Linked DNA regions of Notamacropus eugenii. The protein of the gene in region 1 purifies or fractionates together with the protein of each later gene. This does not show direct contact. Links are inferred from orthologs where the notes say so. Each region holds a gene or a part of one and is shown in the gene's direction. Other genes may lie near its edges.

Region 1 (17,012 bases):
AATCTGGGAAAACTCCTAGAACCCATCCTGATTAGTTAGAAAATGGATAGAGTATCTACTAGAAAAGGATATCTTAAAAAAATTAATTTAATTTACTTTTAACACCTGCTTCCCTACTTCTGTTGAATAAATTGGCTATATCCCTGATTTCCTATCTTCTTTCCATATTATTTTCTTACCCTACCCCTGCAGTACTTTTTTTTTAAGTTTTAATGCTGATCATAAATTGACTGGCTTTCTTTCCTCTTCCTCATATAATTCTGACTTTTTATATTTTAACATTAAATCTTTTCCCAGGTTCACCATGAGCAGCTTCTCAGATTTCACCTTCTTTCATTGTTCTGAATCATCTCATCTGATCCATCCTTTTCCAGGTACACTATTTCACCCTTTTTATGTAGCAACATGAATATATTTCATGAAAGTAAAACCAACTCTTTTATCACCTTCAAATCCATTCTTGATACCCACTATCTTCATTAAATCTCCATATAGCAAATATACAAATATACCCTCCTTTTTCTTTCTAGTTGAGCATGGTATTTTCTAGACCTGTTACTATGAGGATAAAACTACCTTGGTTTGTTCAAGGTAAAATAAATTACTAACCTAAATTGTATTATTGTGTGGTTGATTGGTTCAAAATATTATAGGATCAGAAGAATTTGGAGTTGAAAGAGGTATTAGAGATCATCTAGTCACTTTATATATTAAAAAAAATTGAATGATTTTTTTGGGGGTCCCACCATGGGTATCCTGGTAAATATTTAACAACATTCTTTCTGGGGGAAGAAGGACTGATACACTTTTAAGTTAAATCTATAATGTTAATACTTTCTTAAATCTATACAATCAACAAAACAAGAAATCAAACTAATTTGTAGTGTTTGATGATTTCAGGGGTGTAGATGCTCGCAATAAAAATTTAATAATCAGCTCCCCACATGAATTTGTTAGCACCAGCTCCAGCAAACCCCTAGGTCTCGTATTTTAGGAGTAACACTGTCATCATAAAGCATACCTAAAAGAGAGTAATCAGCATAGGAATGGGTCCTCAAACCCCTGTAAGATATTCTTTAGAGGTTGTCTTTCTAGGAACAGTTGAAAGAATTGAGGACATTGGAGAAGAGTAGACTGAAAAGAAGTGCTACTATTTTCAAGTGTCTAATATTATAACATGACTTTGGTAGAATATATATATATATATGTGTGTGTGTGTGTGTGTGTGTGTGTGTGTATGTATCTATCTATCTATCTATATAGATAGATAGATACACATATATATTCACACACAAATAGGTAGAAGTTCCAAAAAAAAGGAAATTTTGATTCTCTGTAATTAAGAGCTTTGTATAACAGGACTAGGCAATAATCAGTAGGTTGCTTCATAGTATGATAAGCATTACATCATCATCTTTCAACTTTCTCCATCTACACTACAACCAATCCTAGTTCTAAACTTTGTTTCCTCCTGGGCTATAGCAATAACCTGCTGGATGGTTTCCCTTCCTCAAGTCTTTCCCAACTCCAATCCATCCTCCATAAAGTTGCCAAAGTGATGTTTCTAAAGTACAGGGTTCCCCACACTGTGCCTCTGCACAGGCTTTCTCCCAGTCCCACACCTCTGCCTCTTGAACATCCTAATTTCTTTCAAGGTTCAGTTTAAGGGTCACTCCTCTCCCCTCTCCTGCTCCTCCAGAATGTAAGCCCTTTGAGGGTAGAGAATGCTTATTTGTCTTTGCATCCCCAATTTTAGCATTGCCATTGGCACACAGTAGTAGGACCTTAATACATATTTGCTGAATTGAATAAACAAAATTTAGGGAGAGGTTAGATCACTGTCTTTTGGTGTTGTTACTGAGAAAATTCTATAGCACCTGAGTGGGTAGACTTGATTGAGTTCTTTTTTCTTTATTCTTTTTCTTTTTTCTTTTTCTTTTTTTTTGTGGATTGGGAGAATACAAAGCCAATGAGACAATGTACACAGAGCACATGAAGACTTTTCCCAGGGGAATGGGTAGATGAGAACAATTTGTTCTACCATCTATGAAGGTGGCTGAAGCAGGTACTATGGAGTCATTGAAGACACCAAGGTGATCCACTGCATCCCAGGTCATCGACAATCTTTTTGACTTTTGTGCTGCTACTGGACTTCAATGACTCAGGAAGAGAGAGTGAGATGGATGACTTTGCCACAACTCTGCCTCACTTCGATCCAATTCACAGGCAAGTCAAGAAATTACCCATGATGCCACTGATCCTTTTGGAAAATGAAGGGCAAACAACAGCTACAAAAAGACAGAGAAAAAAGGAAAGAGAGCAAATGCTGCAAAACCTGAACCTCCTCTTCTCTTTAATACCCTCTGAGAGGGATTAAAGTCTGATCCCCTACTCCCTTCAACTCTTCTCTGCTGAAGTATTGGATTTTTAATGTTTAATTCAACTCATTTGGATTGAAGCATTAAAAGTTTGTGCTCTCTAAATTTCTTGCACTGAGGTCAAACTACAGAGGTACCACATAGTTCAATCAATCAATAATGTTTATTGATTGGTTAAACATTTATTTAGCACTTACTACTCCGGGCACTGTGCTAAGTGCTAAGAACACAAAAAGAATCAAAAGATAGTTCCTATCCTCAAAGAGCTTACATTCTAATGGGGAAAAACATGCAAAAAACATGCAAAGCAAGCTATATTCTGGATAAATAGGAAACAATTAACAGAGGGAAGGCACTGGAACTGAAGGACTGAGGAAGACTTCCTGTAGTGGCTTTTATTAGGATTCCCATTTTACAGATAATGAAACAGAGATTCAGAGAAATTATGACTTGTCTAAGGTATCAGAGCTAGTAAAGGTTAAGGTTCAAACCAAGTCTTTTGACTCCTTGTCCAATTCCCACTATGTCTTCTTTCCCTGGAGGGGTTTGGACGTTGGTTTGCTGTTGATTGAAAACCCTCAAAAGGCTGTTGTCTTATTGTGAGTTCCTTGCCCAAAGAAACAAATAGAAATGGTTCCCACAGTGGTGATCCCTCTCTGCCCTGATTGGAGTTCCTTATTTGGTTCTGCCATAAGTGACTAGACAGTGAATGATTGGTTAAAGGCATTGGAAAGGCTATCAGCTCTTGTGAGGGAGAGAGCTTTCTGAATGCCTTTAGTGGGAAGAGGAAAAGATCAAAGGGACATTTTCTCTAGTTGTCAGGAAAAAAAACCAAACAAACTCAAACAACTTTTTTGTTTGGAAGCCAGGCTCGCTCCTACTGCCTTGTGTTTCCCTATAGGGATGGAAGGACTTTTCCCAGCCCTGGGACCCATGATGATCGAAATTCTCCGTGGTTCTGGTTTACTATGCCAGGTGAAAGCACATCCTTCAAAACCCAACTGTTGCTGAGTATTTTCTCAGACTCTGTTGTGTCTGACTCCATCTCACTCTCTCTTCCTGAGTCACTGAAGTCCATTGGCAGGACAAACATGTATCCTATCAGACAGGTGGGGAAGATGTGTTCAATTCTCTGTGACCTTATTTGGGGTTTTCTTGGACAAACCATTGGTTTGCCATTTCCTTCTCCAGCTCATTTTACAGATGAGATAACTGAGGCAAACATCTTTAGGTGATTCGTCCAGGATTACATAGCTAGTAAGTGACATAGCTAGTAAGTGTCTGAGATTAGTTTTAAACTCTGGAAGAGGAGTCTTCCTGACTCCAATCCTGGCCCTCTACCTCTACAATTCTATTTAGCTTCCGTGGCCTATCCCAGCCCAGAGAAATCTCTTCCTTTTCTGCCTTTTAGACTTAAGACATTTACCATTCAGTGAAGTGCTTCATCACAGACAGTCTGTCTCTAATAATAGCAGCCAATTAGCTCTTTACCTTGTTTGTAGATTTTGCTGATATATAATACTGTCTTTGTTTCTTAATCATTTCAGGTGTGTCTAGCTCCCTGAAACACTGTAAATTCCTCATGGGCAATGACCACACCTCTTACTTTCTTGTATTCCAGGATTTCAAAAACAGGGCTAGACACATAATCTTTGCTCAATAAATATTTATGATTTGAGGTAATAGCCCTCTGAGAAGTTGACTTTTTTTTTTCTATTTTCCATGGAGAACTTTTTAACTATCACAGCCATTTTCTGACATATTGTCCCCCTATTCTACTGACCCCCCCCCCTTAGAATAGAGAAAAAATTAAGCAAATTAAATGGAAAAGTAAGCAGTGGATATGTCATGTTATGACCCATAGTTCCCCATCTGCCTGACAGGATAAATGTTTCATCCTATATTGTCTGGAACCAATATTATTTATTTCAATTAATTAGAGCTGACTTTTACATTACTATTTTACATTATTATACGTGATTTATATTATCATAGTCTTCATGTGTATAGTTTCTTTCAGTCTGCTTTCCTGTTTGTATCACTTCATAGAAGATGTCTAAATTTTATTGTATTTTTATTCTGAATTTGATAAACTCCAAAAAGATGAACATTTCCACTTAGAAGTTATAAAGGAAAAGAGGATTATATGTGAATCTTCAAATATATGTTACATATAGGTTTTTTTAGAAAAATGTATATAATAAATTCAACATATTACTTTTAAAACTGCCGTGCTTTCCATTCTCTTCTGTGCATTTTAAATTTCTTTCCTCCCTCCCTCCCTCCCTCCCTCCCTTCCTTCCTTCCTTCCTTCCTTCCTTCCTTCCTTCCTTCCTTCCTTCCTTCCTTTGTTTCTTCCTTCCTTCTTTTTTTCCTATCACTATCTCCCTTTTGCCCTCCTAAAATTCCCCCATGGAAAAAAAAACACAATCCTCCTGACAAGTAAGCATAGTCAAGCAAAACAAAAACCACATTCTTTTTAAAAATCACATTTATTTCTAAATATATCCCTTTCCCTATCCAATAAGCCTTCCCAAGTAACAAAAATTTTTTTTAAAAAATATTTCTGCCAAACCAATCAATATGACTACATCTGACAGTGTGCAATGTTGTATCTACATCCATAGTCTCACTTTTAGGATTATAGGCTTTAGAGCTGAAAGAGCCTCTGAAAGTCATTAAGCCCAACTTCCTCAATTTTCAGATGATGAAATCGAGACCTAAGGAGGTTAAGCAACTTGTTTAAGTTTACATAGTAGGAGAAATGGCCTTTGAACCCACAACCTTTGACTCTGGTGATTTCATTTTTTAAAATTCAATTTTATTTTATTTTCGATTCCAAATTCTCTTCTCAATTCATTGAGACGAAAAGAAACAAAACTTATTACAAATATGTATAGTTATGCAAACAAATTTTCTCATTAGCTGTTAAAAAAGGCAAAAAAAAAAGGAAAAAGAAAAAAAATTGACTTCAAAATGCACTCTGAGTCCATCAGTTCTCTATCTGGAGGCCGTGAGCATGCTCCATCATGAGTCCTTTGGAATTATAATACAAATAAAGACATTTTCAATGCTCAGAAATGTATGTCTCTTTTCTGAATCTTGAGTCCATCAGCCTCCATCAGGAGGTGGCTGGTGTGCTTCATTATCCATGTTCTGGTTTCATGGTTGGTTACTACATATGCAATGTTACACATTGATAAAAGTCCTTAAGTCTTTTAAAGTTGTTTTTCTTTAGAAAGTTGTTTTTACACTATAAATTGTTCCCTTGGTTCTATTCACTTTACTCTGCTTCAGTTTGTATTATTTTCCCCAGATTTCTCTTAAATAGCCCATTTTATCTTTTCTTAAAAGTACAATAATATTCTTCTGTTCCATCTATATACCATAATTTGTTCAGCCATTTCCTAATTGATGGGCATCTCCTTCTCCCCTCCCCCAGTTCTTTGCTGAAAAAAGAGCTGCTATAAATATTTTTGGACATTTGAGTTCTTTTCCTCTCTTTTTGATCTCTTTGGGATTTAGACTTCACAACTAGTTTAGTGACATTTTGGGTGTAGTTCAAAATGGTTCTTTAGAAAGATGACCAATTCACAGCTCCAATAACAATGTACTCATTTTCCTATATTCCCTCCAACAACTGTCATTTTTTCTTTTTTGTCATCTTTGCCAATCTGATTAATATTGGTCTTCAGGTTTTCATTTCTTTTTCTTGAATTATTAGTGATTTGGGTCATTTTTCATATAGTTGTTAATAGTTGGGATTTCTTCTTTTCACTTCCTTGACCATTTCTCTATTACAGAATGGCTCTAATTCTTATAAATTTGGAATAGTTCTTTATATAGCTTGAATACCAGATCTTTACTGAAGGAATTTGCTGTAAAGATTCCACCCCCACCCCCACCCCTGCCATTACATTTCCTTTCTAATTTTAATGACATTGTTTTGATTGTATAAAAACTTTTCGGGGGTAGAGCCAAGATGGCGGAGTAGAAAGACGCTCCAAACCCACAACCCATAGAACATCTACAAAAAAGTAACTCATGGCGAATTCTGCACCCAGAGGCCGCAGAACATTGGAGCAAGGGAGATTTCTGTTCCAGAGAGACCTGCAAACCTCTCTCAAAAGGTCCTTCACGCCACGGACTGGGCGCCAGGACTGGAAGCTGAGTACAGCCCTGCCGCAGCCACGGCACTGAGAGGAAAAGATCCGAGCGGGCTTCAGGGACGGAATCTCCAGTGGCCACATGGGTCCCTCCACCCAGAGGTGACAGGGGTCGGTGAGAGGGTCTCTTTGGCGGGTCGAGAGGGGAGTGGGGTGCCCCCATAACTCAGGCCCCCTCGGGAGGCAACAGCGGAGGCGGGAGCAGACAAGGGCTCCCCAAGCAGGCAGGAGCCTGGATCCATTGTTGAAGGTCTCTGCATAAACCCCCTGAGGGAACTGAGGCTGAGAGGCGGCCCTGCCCCCACCTGAGCACCTGAACTTAATCACACACTGAATAGCAGCCCTGCCCCCGCCCCCACCCAAAGCCCTGAGGCTGGAGAGCAGCATTTGAATCTCAAACCCCAAGCACTGGCTGGGAGGATCAGGAGGCGAAGTGGGTGTGAAGAGAATATTCAGAAGTCAAATCACTGGCTGGGAAAATGCCCAGAAAAGGGAAAAGAAATAAGACTATAGAAGGTTACTTTCTTGGGGAACAGGCATTTCCTCCCTTCCTTTCTGATGAGGAAGAACAATGCTTACCATCAGGCAAAGACACAGAAGTCAAGGCCTCTATATCCCAGCCCACTCAATGGGCTCAGGCCATAGAAGGGCTCATAGAAAATCAAGTTAGAGAGGTGGAAGAAAAGCTGGGAAGAGAAATGAGAGACATGCAGTCAAAGCATGAACAGCAGATCAGCTCCCTGCTAAAGGAGACCCAAAAAAATGCTGAAGAAAATAACACCTTGAAAAATAGGCTAACTCAATTGGCAAAAGAGGTTCAAGAAGCCAATGAGGAGAAGAATGCTTTCAAAAGCAGAATTAGCCAGATGGAAAAGGAGATTCAAAGGTTCACTGAAGAAAATAGTTCTTTCAAAATTAGAATGGAACAGATGGAGGCTAATGACTTTATGAGAAACCAAGAAATCACAAAACAAAACCAAAAGAATGAAAAAATGGAAGATAACGTGAAATATCTCATTGGAAAAACAACTGACCTAGAGAATAGATCTAGGAGAGACAATTTAAAAATTATGGGCCTACCTGAAAGCTAGGATCAAAAAAAGAGCCTAGACATCATCTTTCATGAAATTATCAAGGAAAACTGCCCTGAGATTCTAGAACCAGAGGGCAAAAATCAGTATTCAAGGAATCCACAGATCACCGCCTGAAAGAGATCCAAAAAGAGAAACTCCTAGGAACATTGTGGCCAAATTCCAGAGTTCCCAGGTCAAGGAGAAAATATTGCAAGCAGCTAGAAAGAAACAATTCAAGTATTGTGGAAATACAATCAGGATAACACAAGATCTAGCAGCTTCCACATTAAGGGATCAAAGGGCGTGGAATAGGATATTCCAGAAGTCAAAGGAACTAGGACTAAAACCAAGAATCACCTACCCAGCAAAACTGAATATAATACTTCAGGGGAAAAATTGGTCTTTCAATGAAATAGAGGACTTTCAAGCATTCTTGATGAAAAGACCAGAGCTGAAAAGAAAATTTGACTTTCAAACACAAGAATGAAGAGAAGCATGAAAAAGTAAATAGCAAAGAGAAGTCATAAGGGACTTTACAAAAGTTGAACTGTTTACATTCCTACATGGAAAGACAATATTTGTAACTCTTGAAACTATTCAGCATCTGGGTACAGGGTGGGATAACACACACACACATGCACACGCACACACACAGACACATAGAGACAGAGTGCACAGAGTGAACTGAAGAGGAGGGGATCATATCTTAAAAAAATGAAATCAAGCAGTGAGAGAGAAATATATTGGGAGGAGAAAGGGAGAAATGGAATGGGGCAAATTATCTCTCATAAAAGAGGCAAGCAAAAGACTTATTAGTGGAGGGATAAAGAGGGGAGGTGAGAGAAAAACATGGTTTACTCTCATCACATTCCACTAAAGGAAGGAATAAAATGCACAGTCATTTTGGTATGAAAACCTATCTTACAATACAGGAAAGTGGAGGATAAGGGGATAAGCAGGGTGGGGGGGATGATGGAAGGGAGGGCACGGGGAGGAGGGAGCAATTTGAGGTCAACACTCATGGGGAAGGTCAGGATCAAAAGAGAGAACAGAAATAATGGGGGACAGGATAGGACGGAGGGAAATATAATAAGTTCTTACACAACACTATTATTATGGAAGTCATTTGCAAAACTACACAGATCTGGCCTATATTGAATTGCTTGCCTTCCAAACGAAAGGGGTGGGGAGGGAGGGAGGGCAGATTGGCAGACAGGGGCAATTAGAACGCTCGGTGTTTTGGGGTGGGGGGAGGGGACAAAAGGGGAGAAAATGTGGAACCCAAAATTTTGTGAAAATGAATGTTAAAAGTTAAATAAATTAATTAAAAAAAAACAAAAAAACTTTTCAATTTGAGTAATTTTCAATTTAAGTGATCAAAATTACTCTTTTATTTTCAACAGCAATGGACATTTCCATCTAGTCAAAAACCCTTTATCCTCTCTGTTGATATAGACATTTTCTTTCTTAGTCTTTTAATTTCTTCATGATATGACCTTTTACATCTATGTCTGCTTCTCAGTTTTCCCAGCAGTTTTTGTTGAGTTGCTATTTTTCTGTCTGTATTATTCCTGTATATTGTATATCTAATCTGTTCCACTGGTTGAAATTTTTTAGTTTTAATGCGTTACTAAATAGTTTTAATAATGACTGCTTTGTAGTATGGTTTGAGATCTGATTATCACAAGCCTCTCTTCAGTTACTTTTCATTATTTCCTTTGAGAATATTGACATTTTGTTCCTACAGATGAATTTTGTTATTTTTTTCTAGTTTGTAATGTAATCCTTTGGTAATTGATTTGTATGACATTGAATAAACAAATCAATGAAGTAAGGTCACTTTTATTATAGTGGCATGGCGTAACCATGAGTAATCAGTATCTTTTCACTCATATCTGTAGTTCTGTAGAGTATTTTGTAGCTTTAATCATATAATTTCTCTATGTGTCTTGGTAGGTGTGCTCCTAAATAGTTTATATATTCTGTAGTTATTTTAAATTGAATTTCTCTTTCTATACCTTCCTGCTTGGATTTGTTAATAATAAAAATGCTAATGATTTATGTAGCTTTATTTTATATCCTGAAACTTTGCTGAAGTTATCATTTCAATTAATTTTTAGCGACTCAGAAGAAGTCTTTAAGTAAACCATCATATCATTTGCAAAAGCATTTTGTTTCTTCACTGTCTATGCTTATTTCCTCAATTTCATCTATTCAATTTAAATTACCAATTCTCTTGGCATATAAGCAGGTGAAATTACTTCTAAAAGCTAGCATTTTCTAGCACTGTATCAAAGAGTAGTTGTAGACATCCTTGTTTTATCTCTAAAACTTTTAAAAAAGCTCTAGTTTATTTTCACTGGATATAATGCTGACTCTTGATTTTAGTTTAGGTACTATTTACTTGTGTGTATGTGTGTGTTTTTGTGTGTATTTTAGGAGAGACAAAGTTTAATTAGTATCAGCTGATGGGAAGTTGCCAGGTGGCTGGCAATTAGGCAGAACAAAGAGAGATACACACAGACATATAAGATTTTACACAGTCCGAAAACAGGCAGAGGAATGAGCCTATCAGGTGAGGCTGTTCAGCCACTTTCCTTGTTTGGGAAATTGAGAAATAGGGACAGAATGTCAGATGATTTAGGGAGGGAATGTCTTAACCTTGGGCTTGTAACTTGTTAACCTTGGTGTTACCAAAAATCAGGTCTGTTCTGTTAGTGAAATTACCTTGTGGTTACTCTCATCAGACCATTTTGGTGCAGCAGGAGGTCTCTAGTTAATTTCATCAGAACGTCTAGGAGGGACCAGAGGTCTAAGACTGTGTCGTCCTCCCTTAGTGTTGGTTTCTTTTTTTTTTTTTAAAGAAATGGGTTTATTGGAAGTTTTTTCTGCTTTTATTAATTTTGTGATCCTTAGTGTTTTTTGGTTCATTACGTTGACAGTTTTGTTAACGTTGAGGGTTTTCTTAATACTGTAATTCTTAATATTGCATTCTTGGTATAAAGCCTATTTGTTTATAGCATACAATATTTTGATGATGTGCTGCTATAGTCTCTTCATTAATACTTCATTAAAATTTTTGAATCAATTAGGGATATTGGTCAATAGTGTACTTTGTTTTGTCTTTCCTTGGCTTCAGTATCAAAACCAGAATTATGCCATAGAAAGAATTTGGTAACATCCTCTTTTTCCTATTGCAAGTATGTCCTAAATTTACATTATATAATATTATAGTTCATTATTCTTTGAATATTTGATAGAATTCATTTGGAAATCCATCTGGTCCTAGATTTTTTTCCTTTGGGAGTTTATAGCTTGTTTAATTTTTTTCTCTGAGCTTGGATTATTTTAATTCTACATTTCTTATTTTGTTTATTTGGATATCATATGTATATATATTTTTTTCTTTTATATATGTTTAACACATTTATCTATTCAATTTAAATCGCCAATTTTTTTGGCGTATAAGTAGGCAAAGTGATTGCTAAATTTTACTTTTTTCCCTTCATTTGTTGTGAATTCTCCTTCTTACATTTTTAAACTAGCAATTTGGTTTTTCTCTCTTTAAAAAGCTAAGCTAGTTAATTGTTTATTTTATTTTTTAAAAAACAACTACATTAACTCTGTGTGTGTGTGTGTGTGTGTGTGTGTGTGTGTGTATGTCTGTGCGTGACTGCGTGTTATCTTTCAATTTAGAAAACTCTTTGATTTTTGGAATTTTTATTTTGGTGGATAATTGAGATTTTAGAATTTGTGGGTTTTTTCCAGTTGTATGCTCACTTTATTGAACTGTTTTTTCTCCCTTTATTGATAAAAGTGTTTAATGGAGATATAATTTTTCCTCTCAAGACTCCTTTAATTGCATTATTCCAGTTTTTGTCATTTGTCATTTGTCATTTTGTCATTTGGCATTGTCATTTTCTTGGATGAAATTTTCTGTTGTTTCTATGATTTGTTCTTTGACCTACCATTTCATTAGTATTAAGTTATTTAGTTTCCAATTAATTTTTAATCCTTTCTTCAAAAGTCCTTGAAAATTTTATTCCATTTGTACTTGGTAAAATATGTGTTTAATATTTGTCTGTCTTTGTACTTGTTTGTGAGGTTTTATACCCTAGAACATGATCAGTTTTTGTAAAGGTGTCATTCACAGCTAAGACTATGTGTACTTCTTTTTGTTCCCTTCAGTAATTGCCAGAGATCTTAATCTCCAACTTTTCTAAAATTCTCTTCAGATCCTACCTTCTTTCTTGTTTATTTTTTTTGTTTAGATTTGTCCAGGTCTTAGAGAAATATGCTGAGATTCCCCACTTTTTCAGTTTTATTGTCTATAACTTCTTGTGCATTGACTAATTTTTCCTCTAAGTATTTACTTGCTATATCATTTGGTACATTTATATTAAGTATTCATATTAATTTACATCTATGGGGCCTTAAGTCTCATGTAATTTCCCTATTTATCTCTCTTAACCAAGTCTATTTTTCCTGTTGTCTGAAATCATGATCACTACTCCTGCTTTTCTGAAGTCACCTGAACATAATAGAGTTTCCTATAGTCCCTTATTTTAAAACTTTCTGCTTCAGGTATGTTTCTTATAAAACATATGTAGTGAATTTTTCTTTCCAGTACATTGTGCAGCTCTCCTCTATATTGTAAGTTCATCCTATTCACATTCACACTTATAATTCTTAATTATGTATTTAGCTATATCTCATCCTGTTATACCTTTCCCTCCCTTTCATCCAAACTGTGACTCCTTGGTACTACTTGATACAAAATAACTTTGAAGTTATTTTCAAAGGATGGCTGATAGAGTCTTTTTTATGTTCATTTTCTCCTTTGGTTCTAGTAGGTCTCAGTAGTTTTCATTCATGAGTTCTTTAAATATGGTATCTAGACTTTTTAGGGACTAAGTTTTTAGGGAGTCTGATGAATATTAAATTAATTCTCTTCGACCTGTTTTCATGGTCAGTTTTTGTTAGGAGATGTCTTAAATTTTCTTCTTTTTTTTCAGTTTGAAAATTTTGTTCCAGTCTAATCTAATCTAATTTTCAGAGTCTGTTACTTGAGGAATGTTTAGTACCTCCTGTAGTAATATGTTTATTCTCCTTACAGCTCTTTCTTCTGGAGTGGAGTTCTTAACTTACATGATTACATAATCTTGTTTTAAAATTTTTCAATTACATAATCTTATTTTATTTCAGTATAACTGGTTTCCTATTTAATGCCATGCATTTTTCTTTTATGCATTTAAAAACAATATTCTGAGTCCATAGGTTTTTCCAAACTGACAAAAGGCTCCATGACATAAATAAGGTTAAGAACTTATACTCTAGAGCTTATTTTTCTTTTCTGTTCTTTTCTCTAGAACTCTCATTTCATTTATAATGGGAAGGGAAGAAAGGGAATAATAATTCATGTAGCTCCTATGTGCCAGGTACTGTACTAAGTGCTTTATAAATATTATCTCATTTGACAATTATAATATCATTCTTTAACTCTTCCTCATTTTTTTCCCAGGAATTCCAGTAACTCTTGTGGTAAATCTGTCATTTTTCTTGTCTTTTTCTTATACATGATGTATAGTTTATTTTCTCTTCTGGGTTTGTGCCTTGGGTATCCCTAGCTCTATAATATTTATCATCAGAGTTTTCTTCTGTTTACTCCTTTTTCCCAAGTTTACTTCCTGTAATATGAATTTGTATCAGGATTTTTTGAGCTTCTAAATAGAATGGATGGTATCTTCTTTGTTACTCCTCTATATTATGGAGGTTTCAGTAATAGGCCCTGTGTTTTTCAAATACCTCAGGATCAACCTCCAAGGCAGTCTGTGTGGGTGTTAGAGCAGTTAGAGCCTCCTAGGCTCTGGCCAGAGTTACAGCAACACAGCTGCAGGGTCCAGGAATCCCTGACTACACTCAAGTTTGAGGTCCTCTCTTCTGTCCTTGAGAACAGTTATAGGCTTTGAGCTTCCCTGTTGTTGTTCAGTTGTTTTCACTTGTGTCTGACTCCTCATAACACTATGTGGGATGTTCTTGGCAAAGATTACTGGAATGTTTTGCTGGACTGTGTCCTTGGATATTACTTTTCACCTTGCTGAGACACAGTTTCCAAATCTATAAAGAAACAGAGTTTGACACTATGATCTCTAAGGTCCTTCCAACTTTGGCATTTTATGATTCCCATTCTGCAGTTCCCTGATGAGACATAGGTTAGGTTGGATGGCTTTAGATGCCCCTTTCAACTCAGAATCTGTGATTCCTGAGGGAGGAACCCATGACTGATTAACTCAAGTAGATCATGGAGGAGTATATTTATGGCACTAAATGAAATGATTCATTAAAGGTGCATGTTCAGAGAGGGTGGGGTCAAGAATAATAAGTTTTTGTGGAATAGTGGATTGGACACTACATGATCAGATTTATAACTTTTTTCCATAGACACTGAAAAATAATAAAAAACATGCTCTCCAGATATCTGTAGATATTACTCAGTTTCTATCTTATGGATAAAGCTGATTGCATTTACTAGTATTGCCAGCAAACTCCTATGACTATAATTGCTAGTCAAGGTTCCCCTTCAGATCATTTGCAATCAATTAAGTTTATTGCTCCAATAGGTAGCTTTGTATCAGAGAAGTTATTCTGTCTGCTCTGGATCTTGAAAGTGAACTGTGCCCCAAATTCAGGAATTAAGAGATGCTGGCTTCTGCATACGTGGAGCTGCACTGCCTATGGAGGAAGATGTCAGGTAGAAACCTGTGCTCCAGGCCAGTCTCTTTTCCTCTGTGATTTTCTTCTGTACATGCCTCTTTTATTCAGATGAAAGTCATTTCTGTTTCCAAGGGGCAAGACATTAAATGGATAAATGAAAATGAAAATGGATAAATGACAGCTTGGTTTAGTAGATAGGCTAGATTTGGCATCAGGAAGATAGAAGTTCAAGTTATTTCATGGCGGCATACTGCCTTTGTGACCAGAGGCTACTCATTTAACCTCTAACACTATAAATTACAGAGGATGCTGCCTGTGTCCCGGGAGGGAGGAAATTTCCGTACCAGGAATTCTTCACAGGTAAGAAGAACAAAAAGGAAAAGAAAAGAGGAAGAAAACAGGTATTCCATGACCTTTATCTACCAGGGAGACTACGTGCTTTGGACAATTGACACAGCTGAGTGGTTGCCTGGCACATAATAGGATATATCAATAAATGTTTATTGTCTGAGCTTGAGCTAAAAAACACAGAAATTCCACTACTCATAGGGATGCTATATAATAATAGTATCATGTATAATGATAGTTTAATGTAGAAAATAAAAGTATATAAATATGAAATATTTAAATATATCTATAATATAAACCTATTAGATATATTTATATAACAAGTATACATGTAATATACAACAGAAATATATTTATATGATATAACTATATAAATAGCGCAATATAAATATGAAATATTTATATAAAATGTAATAATGGATAAATATAAAAGTAGTATTATGGTACTATCTTCTAATGCCAATGATAGTGATGACTATGTTCACATGATATTTTATAGCTGATGACATCTTTTCCCATAGCCTTTTAAACTGATTCTCATGATTAATAGATAATGTAACTATTATTCTTTCTGGTTTGTAGACGAGAACGTTGTAGTTGATTGTGTTGGGCTATAAGTGATTTCCCAGGACACCAGGACATAACCCAATGGACGTCATCATCATTCATTAGTATAGAACTTTATGCTTCTCAAATGCTGTAATAGTTATAAGATTGCCCATAAAGCAACCCTGTAATGTAGCTCATTAATATTGTCCTCCTTGGTCCCAGAAAGGTAAATTAGAACAATCAAGGAAGAAGTGTTAGAACTGGAAGTGGAGCCCAGGTTTTTGTACTCCTAGTGGATCAGTGTTCCCTTCCTCCAAATATGTCTGCTTTCACAGACGCACATGAAATTCCTTTCATTGAAGGAATTCAGAGATCTTTGCAAATATTCATCACTCCCAACAGCACCCTTTTGCCATGGGAGGGTTTAAATATTATTAAAACTTCCAAGTGGCATTTGCAAGAAGAGTTAGATGTTTCTGATTTTTACTAACTTGACTTAAATTTCTTCTGCTAAATTTGTTAATTTTTTTTGGGAGGGGGGCAGAGAGAAACTGTCTGAACTTTATTTTTAGTGGGTCCAGGAATTAAGGAGGAAGTTTCCTTTGAAAGCCTTTCTGATTAAATTTGTCGCCTCAGCAATTTGCATGGTCCATCAGGCAGTCAATCAACAACATTTATGTTCTTACTATCAGCAGGTCATATAATATGGGAAAAGCAGAAGTAATTTTCTCTCTTGCTGATCCAATGTTCATTAAGATGTTTGAAACAGTAGAGGCTTTGTTAACAGCAGGTTTCATCTGATACAGGAGCTTCCTAGAAAGATTAATGTTCTCTTAAATGGGAGAAAAAAATCCCTTCCAGGGATGAAACCAGAAAAACCATGGAGAATTATTTTTTTTCCTTTAGCTTCTGCCAATCTGTCTGAAGACGAGAATTTCTAGTTCTTACCTGAACCTAGTGCATGCTGGGTAACCTGGGGGCACATAGGGCAGTATTATAGTTGCTTCCTGAACTCTTTTTGAAGTAATCAAGTTAGACATCCAACAGACTATAAATGAGGAGTTAAATTCAGCTATTCAATTGGAGTAGGTGCTGAGCAGCTGCGTTAGATTCTAAGGGGTCTAATCAAAGAGGGAGAAGGGTAGTCCTCACCTGAAAGGAATTAACTAATCTAGTTGGGGAGATAAGGTAACCTTATTAAACAAATGACAGAGCAAAGACAGTTTGTGATTAAATGTCAAAATGAGTGGTGAGGATCATCGTTGAAGGGTTTCAGAAGAAGGAGAGGTCATTGTCAACTGGAGTGGCCTTCAGAACTACATGGAGGAGGCAGGATTTGAGCTGTGCTGAGAAGGATGCTGAGGGGTCTGGATGAGTGGAAAGGATCATTGGAGGACAGTAAGGAGACTGGTCAAGCTGAAATTATGTTCAGATTGGGAAGAAGATTATAGAATTAGACCTGGAAGGCTATCTGATCCAAACTCCTTATTTTAAAAATTTGGTAGGTGAGGCATGGAAAGGTGAATGTGACTGAAGTCCTATGGGATACCAGTAGCAAAATGTCAAGTTCAGGTCATCTTTCCTGCAGAAAGATGCTTCCAGCCAGTGAGGAGAGGCAGATGAGTTTGGATAGCTAGGGTAAGCTCAGATTGTTTGAGTACCTTTTTAATGAATCCTTTTTTAATTGTGGCTTCACAGTTAGTGGTAGATTGTGCTTTGCCTCTTCTTGTCCTGTCATCTGGTATAATTATGCCTGGAGTAATCTAAATTATGTAAATCTATAT
Region 2 (16,879 bases), on another chromosome or scaffold:
AACCTCTGTTTACCTCAGGTTCTTCAACTGTAAAATAAGCTAGAGAAGGAAATGGCAAGCTACTTCAATATCTTTATCAAGAAAACCCCAAAAAGGGTCACAAAGAGTTGGGCACAACTGAAGTGTGTAAAAACCAGCATAATAATAGCACCTATCTAGCAGAGTTGTGAGGATCAGATGATAAAATATTTATAAAAATGCTGAACAGAGTGCTGGACACTAGTAGGTACTATGTAAAAAAAGGTTTTACCTTTTGGCTGTCCCCATGCCTAGAACAACAACAGCTATAATTTGTATAGCATTTTAAGGTTTTCAAGATATTTTACACGTATTACTGAGAGGGGCAGCTAGGTGGTGCAGTGGGTAGAGCACCAGTGCAGGAGTCAGGAGGACCTGAGTTCAAATCTCACCTCAGATACTTGACATTCACTAACTGTGTGACCTCGGGCAAGTCACTTACCCTCAATTGCCTCATCCTGGGTCATCTCCAGTCACCCTGATGAATATCTGGTCACTGAATTCAGATGGCTCTGAAGGAGAAGTGAGGCTGGTGACCTGCATAGCCCTCCCTCACTCAAAATAAAGTCAAGTACAAGTCATGTCATTATTTCTCTGATGGCATGGTCTTCTTTGGCAATGAAGGACGAGCACACACATACTACCTAATTTAAGAGAAGGAATACCTCTCCTCAGTTCAGCCTTTTAGAGTCTCTAGTTTCCTTCAAACCTCAGCTCAAATGCCATTTCCTATATGATTGTTGTCTTCCTTGCAGTTTTCTTTCACGGGAACACTCAGGAGAATCTCGCTTAGCCAGGTCTCCTGCCAAGTTCTGCAGACTTGTTTTTCTTTAACCAATTTTTTTTTAATGTTACCTGAGGCAACACTTCTTGTGATCTTCCCTTAGTCTCCTCCACAATGTTTGGCAAATTAGCTTATTTCTGAACCAGTGCTGCCCTCTCAGTCAGATCCCTCTCCATATGGCAAGAAGATGAAGTGTTTACTGGTTGAAGTGGTTTCTGAGATTTTTCAGTTTCTCAATTGTATCAACTTTTCTATTGGTTACATTTTTCTAAGAAAAATGGTTCATGTCATTACTTTTGCTTATTCCCCATTTTCTTAGTTTGACACCTTTTTTTCCAGTAAATATGTAAATATACCTTTCCTCCCTAATTTGTTTTTGTTTTTAACCTTTGCTCCAATTGCTACTCTGATCTGTATTAGCAACTGTTTCCGAAATAATTTTCACATCATCAGCCATTCTTTTTCCTGTCTGTTGATGCAGTCAGTCATTTATCAATAGTCAAACATTAATTGATCAATCAACAAGTATAGCCTACTCTACTAATTACAGTATTGGAAAAGCATCCTGACACTCGTAACTCTGGAAAGTAAATTCATTATTATGGGCAACTATGAGCTTGATGCACAGCTGCCACTTCTCCAAAATTTATATTCCTATCATATGGCAGCTAGGTGGCAATATGGATAGAACATCAGGTCTGCAGTCAGGAATAACAGAGTTCAAATCTGGCCTTCAACACTTTCTAGCTCTTTGACCCTGGGAAAGTCACTTTACCCTGTTTGCCCCAGTTTCCTCACCTGTAAAATGAGCTGGAGAAGGAAATGGCAAACCACTCCAGTATCTTTGCCGAGAAAACCCCAAATAGGGTCATGAACAGTCAGACATGACTGAAACAACTAAATGTCATCTTTATCTGTCTATCTATCTATCTATCTATCTATCTATCTATCTGTCTGTCTGTCTGTCTGTCTGTCTGTCTGTCTGTCTGTCTGTCTATCTATCTGTCTATCTATCTATCTATCTATCTATCTATCTATCTATCTATCTATCTATCTATCTATCTATCTGATTAATCTTATCACCTAAAAATTACTCCTTTCCCAAGAGGAAGTAGTAGAGAGGAGCTGAGGTAACTCTTAACTCACCTCCTTATTAAAATGTCTACCAAGTGAGATTGTCTTATCTTTGCCAGTGGCAGTCCATATGATGTACTGTCAAGTCAACCAGAAGGGAGACACACCTAAATTTAAAGGACCCTATTGACTCTTACTCAGGGTCTTTGGTCATTGAGAAAGGCTATTGACATAATGTATTGGTTAATGCTAACCTAATTTATAAATTGATCATACTTAGATACTTGTTTTTTTTGGTTGAGATGGGCCAGTGTGAGCTATATTACTAAGAGTTTACCTGTCACTGTTAAAAAATTGTTATCTTGCCCTGGAGAAAACTGTATCTCAGCTTGCCTATGCTACAATTTTACTCACCACAGGGAGGAGAAAGAGGTGGGCAGAGGGGAAAGAGAAAGGGCAGGAAGGGAAAAGGGGGAAGAGAGAGAGAGGAAGAGAGGGGAAGGGGAGGAGACAGGGAAGGGGGGGGGGAGAACAGGAGGGGAGAGAGAACTTGTCTCTGACAGTCCTCTCAAAGCTTCTGAATTTTTTCATCTTTATGTATCCTTATGATGAAACCTAATGAGTATTGCTTCAAAGGACTTTTTTGCAATCACAGTAAGGATTTGAACCTGTGTGGTCTTTCCACCTGAAGTAACTAATTTTCATGATTCAGTCATTTTTCTAACTTCAGAGATCAGGAGTCATCTAGATTCTTCTAATACTAGCATTGTCATTTTTTTAGTAGAAGAACTATAAGCCTTTTATCCCACAAATCTAAGAATCAATCAGATATTATATTACTCAGTCATCTTCCAGCCTGTTCTTGTCATATCACATTATTTTGTTGGGGACTGTTGTTGAGGGGGGCATGCAGGATGAAAAACTTTAATACAATGTCATAAGACAGTCTACAAGAGATTTTATACAAACTAATTTGGGTGGGGGGTGTACGGGGGGAAATGGAGAGCTAAGTGGTACAGTAGCTAGAGCTCTGAACCTAGAATTAAGAAGACCTGACCTTCAAATGTGTCCAAATGTGACCTCAGACACTAAGCAAGTATGACCCCAGGAAAGTCACTTAACCCTGTTGGCCTCAGTTTCTTTATCTGTAAAATAAGCTGGAGAAGGAAATGGCAAACCACTCCAGCATCTTTTCAAAGAAATCCCCAAGTGGGGTCCCAAAGAGTTGGATATGACTGAAGAAGAACAACTGAGCAACAAATTCTTTTTTTGGTGAGAGGTGGGAATGCAACTTATATTTGTCTAACATTGTTCACACACATGTTTATGTAATGGATTTTTGGTCGTGTGGTTTCCAGTGAATATCAGGTCATTGGATTCAGATGGCTCTGGAGGAGAAGTGAGGCTGGTGACCTGCATAGCCCTCCCTCACTCAAAACAAAGTCAAGTGCAAGTCATGTCATCATTTCTCTGATGGCATGGTCTTCTTTGGCAAGAAAGGATGAATACAATAAAAAACATTAGGTAGCGATGGTGGTTCAGTGGTTAGAACATTGGACCTGGAGTCTGGAAGATCTGAGGTCAAATCCAGCTTTCTATACTACTGTGAGATAAGTCACTTAACCTCTGTTGGCTTCAGTTTTCTCAAGTGTAGAGTGGAATAATAATGATAGTACCTACCTCTGAGAGTTGTTGTGAGGATAATATTTTTAAAGTACTTAGCACAGTGCCTGGCACAAAGTGGGTGCTTATTAAAAGCTTGTTTGTTTCCTTCCCAGTGCCAAATTTTTATAGTAATGGATTTAAGCCCTTAAACAACATGATGAAATGATTACTGAAGGAAGTCCATTTTCCATTTTTAATTCTGCACATATAGGAAAAATAACTTTATGCTGTTGTTATCTGTAGGCATCTGGTAAAAACAAAGATCTTTTTTTGTCCTTATGTGCAAAAAATATTTGTAGCAGCTCTTTTTGTGATGGAGACTAAGGAGATGCCCATCAATTGGGAAAGACTGAACAGATTGTGGCACATTGTAATCTCCTGTAAGGAACGAGGAAAGAGATGATTTTAAAAAGTCATGGAAAGTCTTGTATTAACTGATACAGAGTGAAGTGAGCAAAACAGGAAGAAAAAATTACACTATAACATCAATATTATAAAAATGAACTATTTTATTGACTGATGAAAAATAAAATAAGCAGAACTAAGAGAACAATTTATAGCATAACAGCAACATCATAAAAACAAACAAATGAGGTGTAATCAATGCAATGACCATTCAGGATTCCACAAGACCAGTGATGAAACAGGCTATCTGTGACAAAGGTCATGGATTTAGGGGGAGGAATGAAACAAATACATTTTCACATACAGCCATTGAGGGAATTAGTTTTATTTGACTATTAGCTTTGCATGTTTGTTAAGAAAAATTTGTTTTTCCTTTTCTTTCTTTCCAATGGGGCGGAAGATGAAAAAGAGAAAACAGAATTCTGTTCATTTTAAAAATATGAAGGGCAGAGAGATGCTATGTGAAATGTTGCCTTCACTTTCAGATAAGATCACTTAATTTTTAATCTTACTTAACTGTTTTATTTTGTTTCAAGAGACCTCATAAAATGGGAATAATCTGTAAATAGTTGTAATGTGAAAACAAAACACATTAGGAAACTCTTTTAACGGAGCAAAAGAAGGCTGAAAAAGAGCTTCATACTTTGTCAATCCTGAATTATTCGGCTTATGGAATTTCAGCTTTATTTACCGAAATAGTTGCACAGGCATGTAGAGAGATTCCCTTGACAATGTTAATTCCTTTTAAACAAGGTTAACTTGATTACTCCTTTGTTTGGCATTGATGATATTTCCTTGATGACCTGTTAACTCACCTTATCCTGAGTACTCACTCACTAGTTCTTTAAAGCACATATTCTTTGAAAAGATTGAGCCATAAGTGTATGAAGGTTGGCTTGAGCTAGCCTTGGACTTGGTCTTTTAAAAGATGGCTGGCCACCAAACATAGCTGGAGAATTGGACTATGGCTGAACTAGATAGACATACTTCAATTTCTTGGATTAAAGCCCAGTTTCATGAGTTTTCAGAGGACCACATACCTCATCAAACCACAAGACTCCAGAAGAAGGTGGAGCTCCATGGCAGTGAGTAGAGACAATAGTGGAGCAGAAGGAGACACCAGTCCATGAAGGAGGCTGCAGGAATGTGAGCTGGTAGCAGTGAAATTGTAGTGATGATGTGTGTGATAGAGAATTTCCTAGACAGGCAGAAGAACTCCTGAACTAAATTTTTTGAACCCAGAGGAAGAATTCCTAAACAATGCTAAGCTTCTGGAGAAGTTTCAGAATCAAGCTGAAGCCCTAAGTAGAAGCCAGCAAGAGAGTTTTCAAGAGCTAGCAAACAGAACCACATAAAACAGTCAAATAGCCCATTAGCTCCTCTCATAAGGTAGCTGAACTTGGGATTATTATCAGAGCAAAGCTTTGACACATCAGTGAGTCCCTTTCCTACAGATACTTTACCCCCAAAACTTGTTGCACTACTCTATGTTTTAATCTTGACCTCAGAAGATAAACATACCTTGGAGGTTGCTGAATAAACAATACCTCTCTCATTGAACCTACACCAGCTTTGCTCTCCATGAAAGACACTGCATAGGAACTATCCTCTTTTCCCTAGAACAGTGTTAGATAAAGAAATCTTCTCTCTCTTTTAGAAGCTTCCAAACTTGATATTCTCAAATCTGGGAATCCACATATTTTAATTGCACATATTTTCTTCTGGCATGAGTTTCCATGGGAAATCTCTCAATGCCTTGAGGTATTGCTTCCCAGAATATCTTCCTTCTCTGGCTAGAAGTCTTGATTCTGGGATCATTGCTTGGGGCATTTGCATTCTCTTATCTCCTTTTCCTTTACACAAGAAATTGGGTTTAAGAAAGTATCCTTGAACTACCCTCTCAAGCTTCATGAAAGGACACTGACCTGATCAGACTATTATAAAGGTCTTCTAACTGGTTTCCCTGCCTCAAGTCTTTGTCCATGCCAAACCATCCTCCACACCACTGCCAAAATTATTTCTTTAAAGTGAAAGCCTGACCATATCACCTCCTACTCAATAAACATCAGTGTCTCCCCATTACTTCCAGTATTAAATATAAAATCCTTTGTCATTTAAAGCTCTTCACAACCTGTCTCCTTCTTATCTTTCTGGCCATCTCACACTTTATTCCCCTTCACATATACCATGATCCAACTGTACTCTTACTCACTATTCCTCACAAGACTTTCCATTTCTGGACTCCAAGGCTTCTCACTTGCTATACTCCATGCCTGAAACACCATCATCTCACCATCTCTTAGAATCCTTGGCTTCATTTCAAGACTTCGCTCAAACACCATCTTCTGAAGAAGGCCTTTCCATGTCTCCCAGCTACTAATGTCTTTCTCTGTCAGGTTATATTCCATCTACTGTACTTTTGCAGTGAAGGAAACTGAGGCCCATGGAGATTAAATGACTTTCCCAAAGTCATAAGTGTGGGAAGCATCAGAGATGGGTGGGAAGATCACTGCAGTTATACTGCCTGCAGCTATTCCCAACCCTGCTGTCAGCATACCCTGAAAGATGCCATCTTTGAAGGTCCCTGGACTGTGGAAATGGGAGTGAAGCCCAGAGAGCACCCAATCATGTCATGTAGGTCAGTTTTCAATACCATTCACACCCATGAAATAAACTGCTTCATCCATGAATAAGAAGATAAAATGGCTGATATAAAGGGAATTATATTATACTGGAAATAGCACAGGACTTTGAGTCAGTTCCACCTGTCACATATTAGCTGTTTGACCTGGGGTGAGTCAATATACATCCCTGATACTGGGTTTCCTTATCTATCAAGAGAGGGATAATAACTCAGTTGTTGTGAGGCTTAAACCAGACAGTATATAAATAAAGTCCTTTGTACCTGCAAAACACCATAGACCCATTGGCGGCTATTGGGGAATTCTTGGAAAACAGACAATATGAAGAATAATATATTTAGAAAAGGGTATTCAGTTAAACATTAATACATATTTTCTTAAGATATATTTTCCTGGGTGCTGTTTACACAAAAATGAAATCAGACACAATCCCATTCTCAAGGAATTTATAATCTAGTAATAAAGATAAGACATGTACATAAATACGTACTTTATAGATAAGACTTTAAAAAGTCAACCTAATTTCCATACAAAGTGCTATCAAAAATTTAAGAAGTGTCAGGTCACTTCCAGATTAGAAGAGATGACTTCATGAGGAAGATGATACCAGAGTTGAACCTCAAAAGAAAGGAAAGAATTTAAAAAGATGGTGATTAGCAGGGAGGGCATTCATAGAATCAGAGATTTAGAGCTGGAAAGGACCTTAAAAAGCAACAGATCCAACCACTTCATCTTATAAATGTGGAACCTGAGGCTAAGAGAGTCACCCAGTTAAGCAAATGCCTGAAGGAAGATTTGAATTCAGATCTTCCTGACTCCAAATCCAGTTTTTATCTATTCTGCCACTTTCAAAGGGATAACAAGAGGAAAGACAAGGGAGGGGACAGGGAAGGACAGGATGAGAATGGGGGTGTATCATTAGTTTGTTTTGCTCTAATATAATATACATAAAGGAGAGTAGCTGAAAAGGTAACTTGGAGCCAGAATGAGACTGACCTAGAATGTTAGACTGTAGAGCTGGTATTTTATTTATAGACAATGGGGAGTCAATGAAAGTTTTTGAGGAGAGGAGGTGATGTGATCTGAGAGTTTTGTACTAAAAATATGCAGCAAATGTGCTAGATGGATTGGAGATGGGAGAAACTAGTAGACAGAAGGTCCATTGGAAGCTTATTGAAATAATAGAAGATAGTATTGGTTTGAACTAGGCCAGTTACAGTGGTTGGGGGAAGAGGTAGAAATGACAGTATGTTTTGGTAGTGGAATGAAGAAAAGTTGACATCTGTTTGGATAGATTAGGTGTATGCCTGCGCTAGAGGAGGTTATAGATAAAGGGGTGGGAAGAATATTTTTTGATATTTGAATTGGTCAAAATTATTCTTGTTTGTAGTTAGCCTCTGGCTTCCAAGATTTTACCAAAGAACTAATGAAGACTTTTAGATTCTTTTCATAGAAGCTTAGAATGTTAGAGCTGAAAGAGAACTTAGAGGTCACAGTGCAATTCCTTCATTTTTCTAAATGAGGAAACTGAGGCTCAGAGAGGTGAAATGATTTGCTCAAGTTTATAAGACATTTTGGAGATATAATTCAGTAATGAATTATGAATACTGTCTATGTGTTATAGCTTCTGAAAGTTTCTCAGATCTGATATATTCTTAGAATGCAGGTTAAATAGAGGGAGAGGACAAAAGAAGAGGAAGAGGAGTAAAAGGAAGAGAGGGGGGAGAGGAAAGGAAGAAGAGAGAGAGAAAGAGAGAGAGAGAGAGAGAGAGAGAGAGAGAGAGAGAGAGAGAGAGAGAGAGAGAGAGAGAGAGAGAGAATGTCTTCCTGCCAGATATCTCATCTAAAATTAATTCTCTGAGACTAGTTTTAAACATCACCACGACCTCTGGTTCAGTTTGTCTGGAAAAAAAGATATCTCTTCCCACATTTCAGTTGAGTATGACTCATTTTTTTTTTTAAGGGCTCAAGGTCTGGCAGGAACTTAATCCTCTTACCTCAGCACACCATTTCCTCCTTTCCACCAGTCGGTTAAGTCTGGTTTTCTTGGGCTTGGTCTTTCCTGGAAAAATAAAGCCTGTGTTATGGTATAATTTCCACCTTCTCAGCTCCCTTAATTATCTCAAATGCTTTAAATCTGTTGCCTAAATATTTTTTACAAATGCTAATTTGTTCACCAGTATTCTACAAATTAAGCCAAGTAAGATATTTCAGGAATAGCAAAATGAATAAAAGCTTAATAAATTAGCCCTTATTCAGCATTGTCATTATTAAATCTGGTTTTGTTACTATTGCTTATTTCATTTCCATTCCCCAGTATATACATATGCTAGCCACCTGATTTATATATACATATGAACATATGTATATATATATACATATACATACACACACACACACACACATATATATCCATAATGGAAAAAATCGGAGTAGTGATGTGGCATTAAAACAATTTATCTTTGAAAAGTTGTTTGTTTGTTTTTAAATTACCACGATTTAGCTATGAACATAATATGGAGACATACATATGGAGCCATATGTATGACTTTTGTACAGGAGGCAAATTTCCAGCAGAGTCTTCAAAGTAGAGGAGGTATATGGATTGTCATAAAGGTGGGAAATCAAAAACCACGCCAGAGGAAAGAAGGTTAAGCTTTGAATATGGCTTATTGTACCCAAAGCATTCAAATAATAATTGGTTTAAGTCTAAACCTTTTCACCTCATTAAGACTATCAGAATAACTCAAATCTTTCTCAAACTTCTTGCTCGTGGCACTAATTCTTTGCTGGGAGGATTTGTAGCTTGCTAAGAATGATTGGAGAGACTCTTGTAAATGCATGTGGTTACAAGGATGAGTACCATACAGCTTTTGAGAAACACCAGGATGAATTATATTGCGTTTGAATTTCCATGAGTATGCTTGAATTTTATTGCTTGCATTTCACAGAAAGAACACAAAATTTATTCAATACTGTGACCAACGGATGGAAGCTGTGGTTTAGTAAATGAGAAACTCCCAAGTAGTTAGAGCAGTCTCAAAAAGGAATGTGTTACTCAGAAAGGAGCGAGTTTTCTAAGCCAAATTTTCAAACAAGTTAGGGCACCACTTCTTTAAACTATTCTTGAGGGGATTTATTTATATTTTGACTAGAGGACTAACGCCTATGACCTTTACCCTTGTCTATGATTTTCATGTACTGACACTTATGAGGAAGAAAAATAAGTGTAAATTAACTAATGGTTATCTTTTAGATAGAAGTATGAGAGTTAGGAAATTGCTAATTGTTCTTCCATTCTCCAGGCAGTTTCAGGTACCTGGTTGTGTGTGTGTGGGGGAGGGGGGGGTCTGGGGGGGGTGGGTGTGGGTGTAGGTGTACATACGTGGGTTAATTGTAAAATAATGAGATAAATTCTATGTATCACATAAAAATCAGTCTTGTTCCTTGCATTTCATTTTTTTCTCTGAAATTTTCCACTGAAGAACAACTATGTAACTATTTTACATATGCATTTACCGTGCAGTCTATAGTTAACGCTACATTTTAGATCCGTGTTAGCTCTGGACAGCACTTTCTCAGGAAAGATGTGCCATGCACCAGAACCTAGGCTTGTATCCTCATACTCTGAATTTTCTAAATTCAGACATTTATATCCTGAGCATTGGGATCAACGTCACACACACACGCCCCTTATCTCCTAGGACTCAACCTTCCTTGAAGCCTTTCCTTCTCTACACACTCGGATAGCTGCAGTCCAAGTCCTTAAAGCCATCTCCTGAGGGGGAACCCAAAGGTACAGCCTCCAGTTGCTGATTTGTCTCTGCAGCCCATGACACCCTACAGCTTCCATGCAGTTTGGCAGTGCCCTGCCTGTAGAAAGAGTCCACTCCCAGAAGGGAAGGGCTGGGTTTCGAATTTCATTTCCCTTGTAAACCATTCCCAGATTCCAATCCACTTGCAGGGCTCCTCTGCTGCTTTCCAGTCTCAGACCTCTCAGAGAGAGCCCCCAGCCCACAGAGCTGAAGGAGGGCACAGTGAATTTCAGGAAGTCCAACATGAGACCAGCATCTCTCCTTCTCCTCTGCAGCCTCTTTGTTTTCTCCTGGCTCATACAGGGCAGAATTATCCGGGAGGATGAAGCCGGTTTTGCTGAATGTAACAAGTTCTTTTATGAAGAGACCCCGCCTAAAGGATTGGCTGAGCCTTTCCACGTGAAAATCTGTCAAAAATACAACGGCAAGGAGCGCTTTGCTACCCTGTACAGCACCCAAGAAAAGATACCTGTTTACTCGGCTTTTCGATATGCTGTCTCTGGAGAGAGTAGGGAGCAGGGTTGGATGATCGAACCCCAGGTGAGTCAAACAGCTTTGTAGATATTCTGCAGTGGGACCCAAACAAGAGAAGACCGGCAATTCCTTCTGCTTCAGAATAAGGAGGGAGGGGGCCTAAATAACATGAGGGGTGATGGGCACTGCCCGGTGAAACGCTGTGCCAGAAATTGCCTTCCTCCTACCTGAATTCAAATTCTCCCCCTTCACCCCTAAGCCTTTTTACTCTGCTTAAGAAAATTGGAATTTCAGCTCATAAACTTTATAACATTTCATCCAAGTCCCTGCAACATTCAGAAATGCAGAGAGGAACCATTTGGTTCCCTGAGAGATTCTTCTTGATCTCACTTTTAATTTTTTCTGATAACTGTATTTCAAAATAATTGACTTCCTTTGTAATCCTACATATTTAATTATGCTTATTTTTTAATTTTAAAACTTTTCTCTGAAGAGTCCATAAGCTTCACCAAACTGCCAAAAGGGTCCATGACACACATATAAAAAGGTTAAGATCCACTGCTCTACACAGAAATTTATCTATATGGATGATGATGCACATACAACATTATAAGGTACTCGACTAGTATAGGTCCCATGTGATACTACCTTACATGCATACTTTGCTTTACAGTTTACAAGCTGTTTTCCTGTGAAATAGGTCATACGAGTGTTATTATGTTTTCCCTGTTTTACAAGGACACTGAGGCTCAAAAAGGTTAATGAACTTGTCCCAGATCATGCATCTCATAGAGCCAGGTTTTGAACTCAGGTTCAGTGCTTTCTCTGCTCCACTATGGAAAAGGGATAAAAGTATGATTGTATTTGTAATTGGAAAAAATAAAATACTATTTACAAAAAAAAGAAGAGGAAGATCATTTGGTCACAAGGCTTAAAAACAAAAACATGCACAATGATTTCAACTTAGAGACGTTATGAGGTATTAATTTCTTCACAATGAAGAAATTTTGGAATTTGGAGGAGTGTTTCCTGTTATTCATTGTATTTTTATCTCCCATTCTACATTTGGGAAAATATCAGGAATTGTCAAATTGAGAAAAAAATTTAAGAAACTTTTGGATTTTTAAAAAAAGGAATAACAAAGGCCTAGGGAATGTCTCTACCTATTGGCTTGGTAAGAAGGACAAAATAATTGTCCCCAATTCTTCATTTCTTCAGTATCAACCCCAAGGATTCAGAAATCAAGCCTTCATCTGTCAAGTCACCCCCTGCAGTGGGCTATGTCAGCCAACCAGAGGAATTGAAATGGCCCTCCACACTTAGCCTTCTGTCCCATACCTTCTCCCCAACCTGGTATACTACTTCTAAGGCATTGTGGTATTGACATGTACATGCATACACACATACATACAAACACTGTCTCTCCCTCTTGCAGAAGCCAATAACTCCTCACCTAGAGACAGGGTTTCCCATCACTCTCCACTTGCCCAACCTTCTTACCCTTGTCCACCTTGATGCCAAATCCTTCCCAAGCCTTCTGATGTAATAAACACACCCTAGCCCAACCTGTTCCTGATCTCCATAGCCTGTACCCCCTCCAGCCCCACCCAGATGAATACCAAGACAAGCATCTGGGTTTTCCATTCTTAGAATGAGTTTATTTGGAAGCCTTGAAATATAGCTGCTATCTTGTAATATCTTTTAAGTGCTCATTGTATAAATACATCACCATAGAAGCCACCTCTCCTCCACCATCCCATACTAGGAAGATATAAAGGAATAAGAATACACAGGAAACACGATGTGTTCATAAACACAGAGAGGAAAAAAGTGATCAGAGTGGAATGGGCCTTCAGAAACTTTCTAGAGGAGGTGAGTTTTGAGTAAGAATGGAGTGCAAGAGGCATTGGCTGACAAAGGAAGGAGGTGGTCCCAGGTGAAGGGAAGAACATCTGCCAAGGGATAAGATCAGGAACAAGCAAATTACATACAGGACATAGTAAGCTGATCAGTCTAGTCAGAATAGGAAGTCTGTAGTGGGGAATAATGAAAAGAAAGGTTGATGAGATAGTTGAGAGAGGGAAAAAGTTGATAAAGGAACTCCAAGGGCAGGCTGAGAATTTCCAAAAGGCTAAATAAGGAAGTACATGGTAGTGGCGGGTATTGGAAAGTACAAGGTCTAAGAATTGGGAGACCTGGTTTAACGTCCTGGTTCCGTGCTTGTGTCCTTGCCTCTGTGCCAAGCTATGTAACCTTGGACAAATTGCTTAGTATCTCTGAGACTGCATTTCATAGAATCAAAGAAATTTCAAATTTGGAAAGAAACTTAGAGGTCATGCAGAACAACATTTACCTAAAACATGAATCTCTTCTGTAACATCTGGCAAGTTGCATGCATCCATGTAACGTAACATGCATCCAGCTTCTGCTGGAGCATCTCTATTGAGAAGGAACTTGCTGCTGCTTGGGATAGGCCATTCTGTTTTTGGACAGCTCCAGTTGTTAGGTGGTTAGCTGATATACTGAGCCAAAATCTTTCTCCCCTCAATTTCTGTTACTGATCCTAGTTCTGCCTTTGGAGATCAAGCACGTAAGTCTAATTCCCCTTCACTTAATAGTCGGGATTTATTTACATGTCGTCTCCCCCTTTAGCCTGGAAGGTTCTTGAAAGCAGGGACTGTCTTTTATCTTTTTTTGTATCTTCAACTTGTAGCTCAGCACATAGTAGATGCCCAATAAATGTTTAGTGAAGCTGACTGAACAAGTTTTTTAAAGCAGCTACTACGTTCCAGGCACTGTGCTAGAGATGAAGAGTCCTTCAGATAGTTGAAGTTGCCTTTACTTTAAAGGACTAGATAATTTCTTAGCTCTTGATTCCTTCTGTGCTTTCTAGAAATTAGAAGTTAACTTTTTGTGATATACTTGTTGGAGTACTGTAGAGCATGATGAGAATTTGGCTACTTGAGCAGAGATACCCAAGCCCTGCCTCAGTCAGCATTGTGTCTGATCCAAGTATCTAATTAGGTCAGAACACTTTATGTCTTATATGGTGCCTCATACCTGCACTGGCTAAGGGCATTGCATCTGCCTGCAAGCCATATATGCTGTACCAAGAACCATTTCTGTGGACAACTTAACTAAGAGCCAGACTTCTGAATGCAGCCATTCTTTCATTCATTCATCAGTCAAGAAGCATTTGTTAAAGGGTTTAATATGTGTCAGGCACTGTGATAGGAATCGGGGATATAAAAGTCAAAAAATCCAAGACATGATCTGCCCTCTAGGAGTTTATATTCTACTGGAGGGAGGGAGGGGGGATGCTACATATACTCGTAGAAGTAAATACACAGTACGTGTAAGGTAAATAAAACATAATTTGTGGGGAGAGGGGAGGTGAAGAACATTAACTATGGAAGGGATCCCATCCTTACACACAATGTCTTTTATCTCTTTGCCTTTGCAATTGATGTCCTCCCATGACTAGAATCCTATCGACCTTCACCTTTGCTGTTTAATTTCCCTGGCTTCCTTCAAATCTCAGATCAAATCCTACTTTCTCCAGGAAACCTTTCCCACTTGCCTTCCTCTCTGAGATGATTGCCTTCTATATCTTTTCTAGGTTCCTAGCTTTTTGCAATGTTGCTTTTCCCTTGGATGCTTCTTGATGGCAGAAATAGTTTTTGCTTTTTTTTTTTTATTTTGTATCCTCAATGCTTAACATAGTTCCTGGAACATAGTAAACATTTAATAACTTTTTAAAAAAATAATTGATTGCTTAGTTGATGGTAGATGGCAGCTTTGAAGGAAGCTAGGAATTCTGCTGTAGGAGGCAGAGCTGAGGAGGGACAACAATCAGGGGACAGCACTGGCAAAAGCACATCAGGAAACAGAATGCAGCGTATAAAAAACATCAGAAGGGCCAGTTTGGTTAGAAGGTGTGTAAGAGGGAGGACTGTGTCATAATCTGTCTGGCAAGGTCAGCTGGAGCCAAATTATGAAAAGCTTTAAATGTGCCACAGAGTTGGCATTTTATCTTAGCCACAATAGGAAGCCACTTATGAGTTCTGAGGAACAACTGTAGTATGGTATGGGAAGAACACTGAGTTTTAAATCAGAAGACCTTGGTTTGAACCTGAGTTTTACCACTGGACAGTGGTCTGACTTTTACAATTCACTTAAACTGCTCTATGCCTCAGTCTACTTACCTGGAAAAAGGGATGACACAAACCTCTTGCCTCACAAGAGTGTTGAGCAAATCAAATGATGTAATATCCATAAAGGACTTTTTTAACCATAAAGTAGGATACAAAGATCAGCTAGCTATGATGAAGGAGGACAAAAGCAATATGATTTTCAACAGAGTTGAAGAACACATAACAGCTCCCTATGTCTTATGCCCACTAAGGTCAATTTGTCAATTAGTATTTATTAAGTACCCACTATGTGCCAGGCCCTTTGCTAAGCACTGAGGGTGCAAAGAAGGGGGACAATATAAAAACAATCATGTACAAACAAGATATATGCTGGATAAACTAGATGTAATCACAGAGGGAAGCCTCTGGCATTAAGGGGGATTGGGAAAGACTTCTTAGAGATGGTGATATTTTAGGTAGGACTTTAATATCAAGCTCCATTACAGAGAGATACTTAGCTCTGAGGTTCACATTTTGTTTGGCATAAAATAATTCATGACTGTGAATCACTTCAACCTAGGACACACTTTTATGAGGTCAGCATTATTATTAGGCCCTCATCATCCAGGGGAGGAACAAAGACAAAAGGGAAGCTTCGCCCTTGCCTAAGGTTATTGAGTGAGTCAGTGACAGAGCTGTGGATCTCAGGTTCCCAGAGAGAGAACCCTGGGAATACATCTTTGAATGAGCTAGATCTTTTCAATTACATTGACTGAACCAAAGGAAAATCTGGGAGGGGGGAAGGGGGAAAGGGAGAGGGTGCACCTTCTGGAGGCATAGGAAAATAGAAAACTTGCTATGAGGAAAGTAGTGTTATTTGATGGAGCAAATACAAACCTTGGCTTAACTGAAGACTTGATTCCTCTTGACACAACCTGTGGCCTTGGGAAGGTCACTTAACCCTTTAAAGTCTCAGTTCCTTCCTCTAAAAATTCAGAAGGTTTGACTAGATGATCTTTGAGGTATCTTCCAGTTGTAGACCTTTGACTCTATAACTTTCACCATGGAAACTGAGAAAATATATATATGTATGTATGTATGTATATATGTATGCACATATATATGTGTATATGAATACATATATACATATATATACCAAAAACCCTGTAAAATATGCGACTTAGGAGCATGCTGGAGAAGACAAGTGTATGCAGATAGTCTTCCATGATGGATCTGAAACACAAGGAACTAGCATCTAGTATTCTGACATCACTTTCCCATTGCTAGGATTCAATTTTTTTTCTAGTCTCTGGACTACTGGAAGTAGGACAGAAGACGCCCACAACTTCCCCCACTTCTACTTGTAATAGCCACTGGGGGTTGGAGAAGAAGACAGGTGATGGTTATAAGCTGTTTAAAAATATAAAGATAATGTTGCTTTTGTTGAGACTCCAGTGAACAGTATTACTACTAAACTATAATTTACCCCTATTTTGTTGAGAAAATCCAATGAGATAATGTCTGTAAAGGGCTTCCTAAACCATAAAGTAGCATATGAAGATCAGCTAGCTGTTAAGAAGGAAGACAAAAGGAAGCTTTTCAGCAGGGTTGAAGAGCATGTCACCAAAAATGACTTCCTCATTGACCAGCCAGCCATTACAAAGATGCTCTGATAGCATCTTAGGCATGTCGTTGAACTGCCATCAGTGTGTAGTTTCCTCATTTGCAAAATGAGGGATTCAGACTGATCCCATGATCTCTTAGAATACCCGGCACAGAGCCTTGAACAGAAGAGGTACATGGTAGATAGTTAGGGAATGAAGGCATGAGTTAGTTGATGGAAAATGTGAGCTCTATTTGCCCTATCTC

What was found.
Region 2: the proteins of SLC34A2 (region 1) and ENDOD1 purify together in Homo sapiens (co-immunoprecipitation; 3 studies listed by BioGRID and IntAct, counting the BioPlex papers as one, with this or other methods). This does not show direct contact. The link is inferred for Notamacropus eugenii from reciprocal best matches to the Homo sapiens genes SLC34A2 and ENDOD1.

What each region holds. Positions count from the first base shown.
Region 1 is NC_092877.1:78,359,843-78,376,854, forward strand, and holds the start of SLC34A2 (sodium-dependent phosphate transport protein 2B), read left to right. Parts: upstream 1-10,104; 5' UTR 10,105-10,192; intron 10,193-14,634; 5' UTR 14,635-14,691; intron 14,692-17,012. UniProt on the Homo sapiens protein: Involved in actively transporting phosphate into cells via Na(+) cotransport.
Region 2 is NC_092876.1:163,262,251-163,279,129, reverse strand, and holds the start of ENDOD1 (endonuclease domain-containing 1 protein), read left to right. Parts: upstream 1-10,421; 5' UTR 10,422-10,646; coding exon 10,647-10,943; intron 10,944-16,879. UniProt on the Homo sapiens protein: May act as a DNase and a RNase. Plays a role in the modulation of innate immune signaling through the cGAS-STING pathway by interacting with RNF26.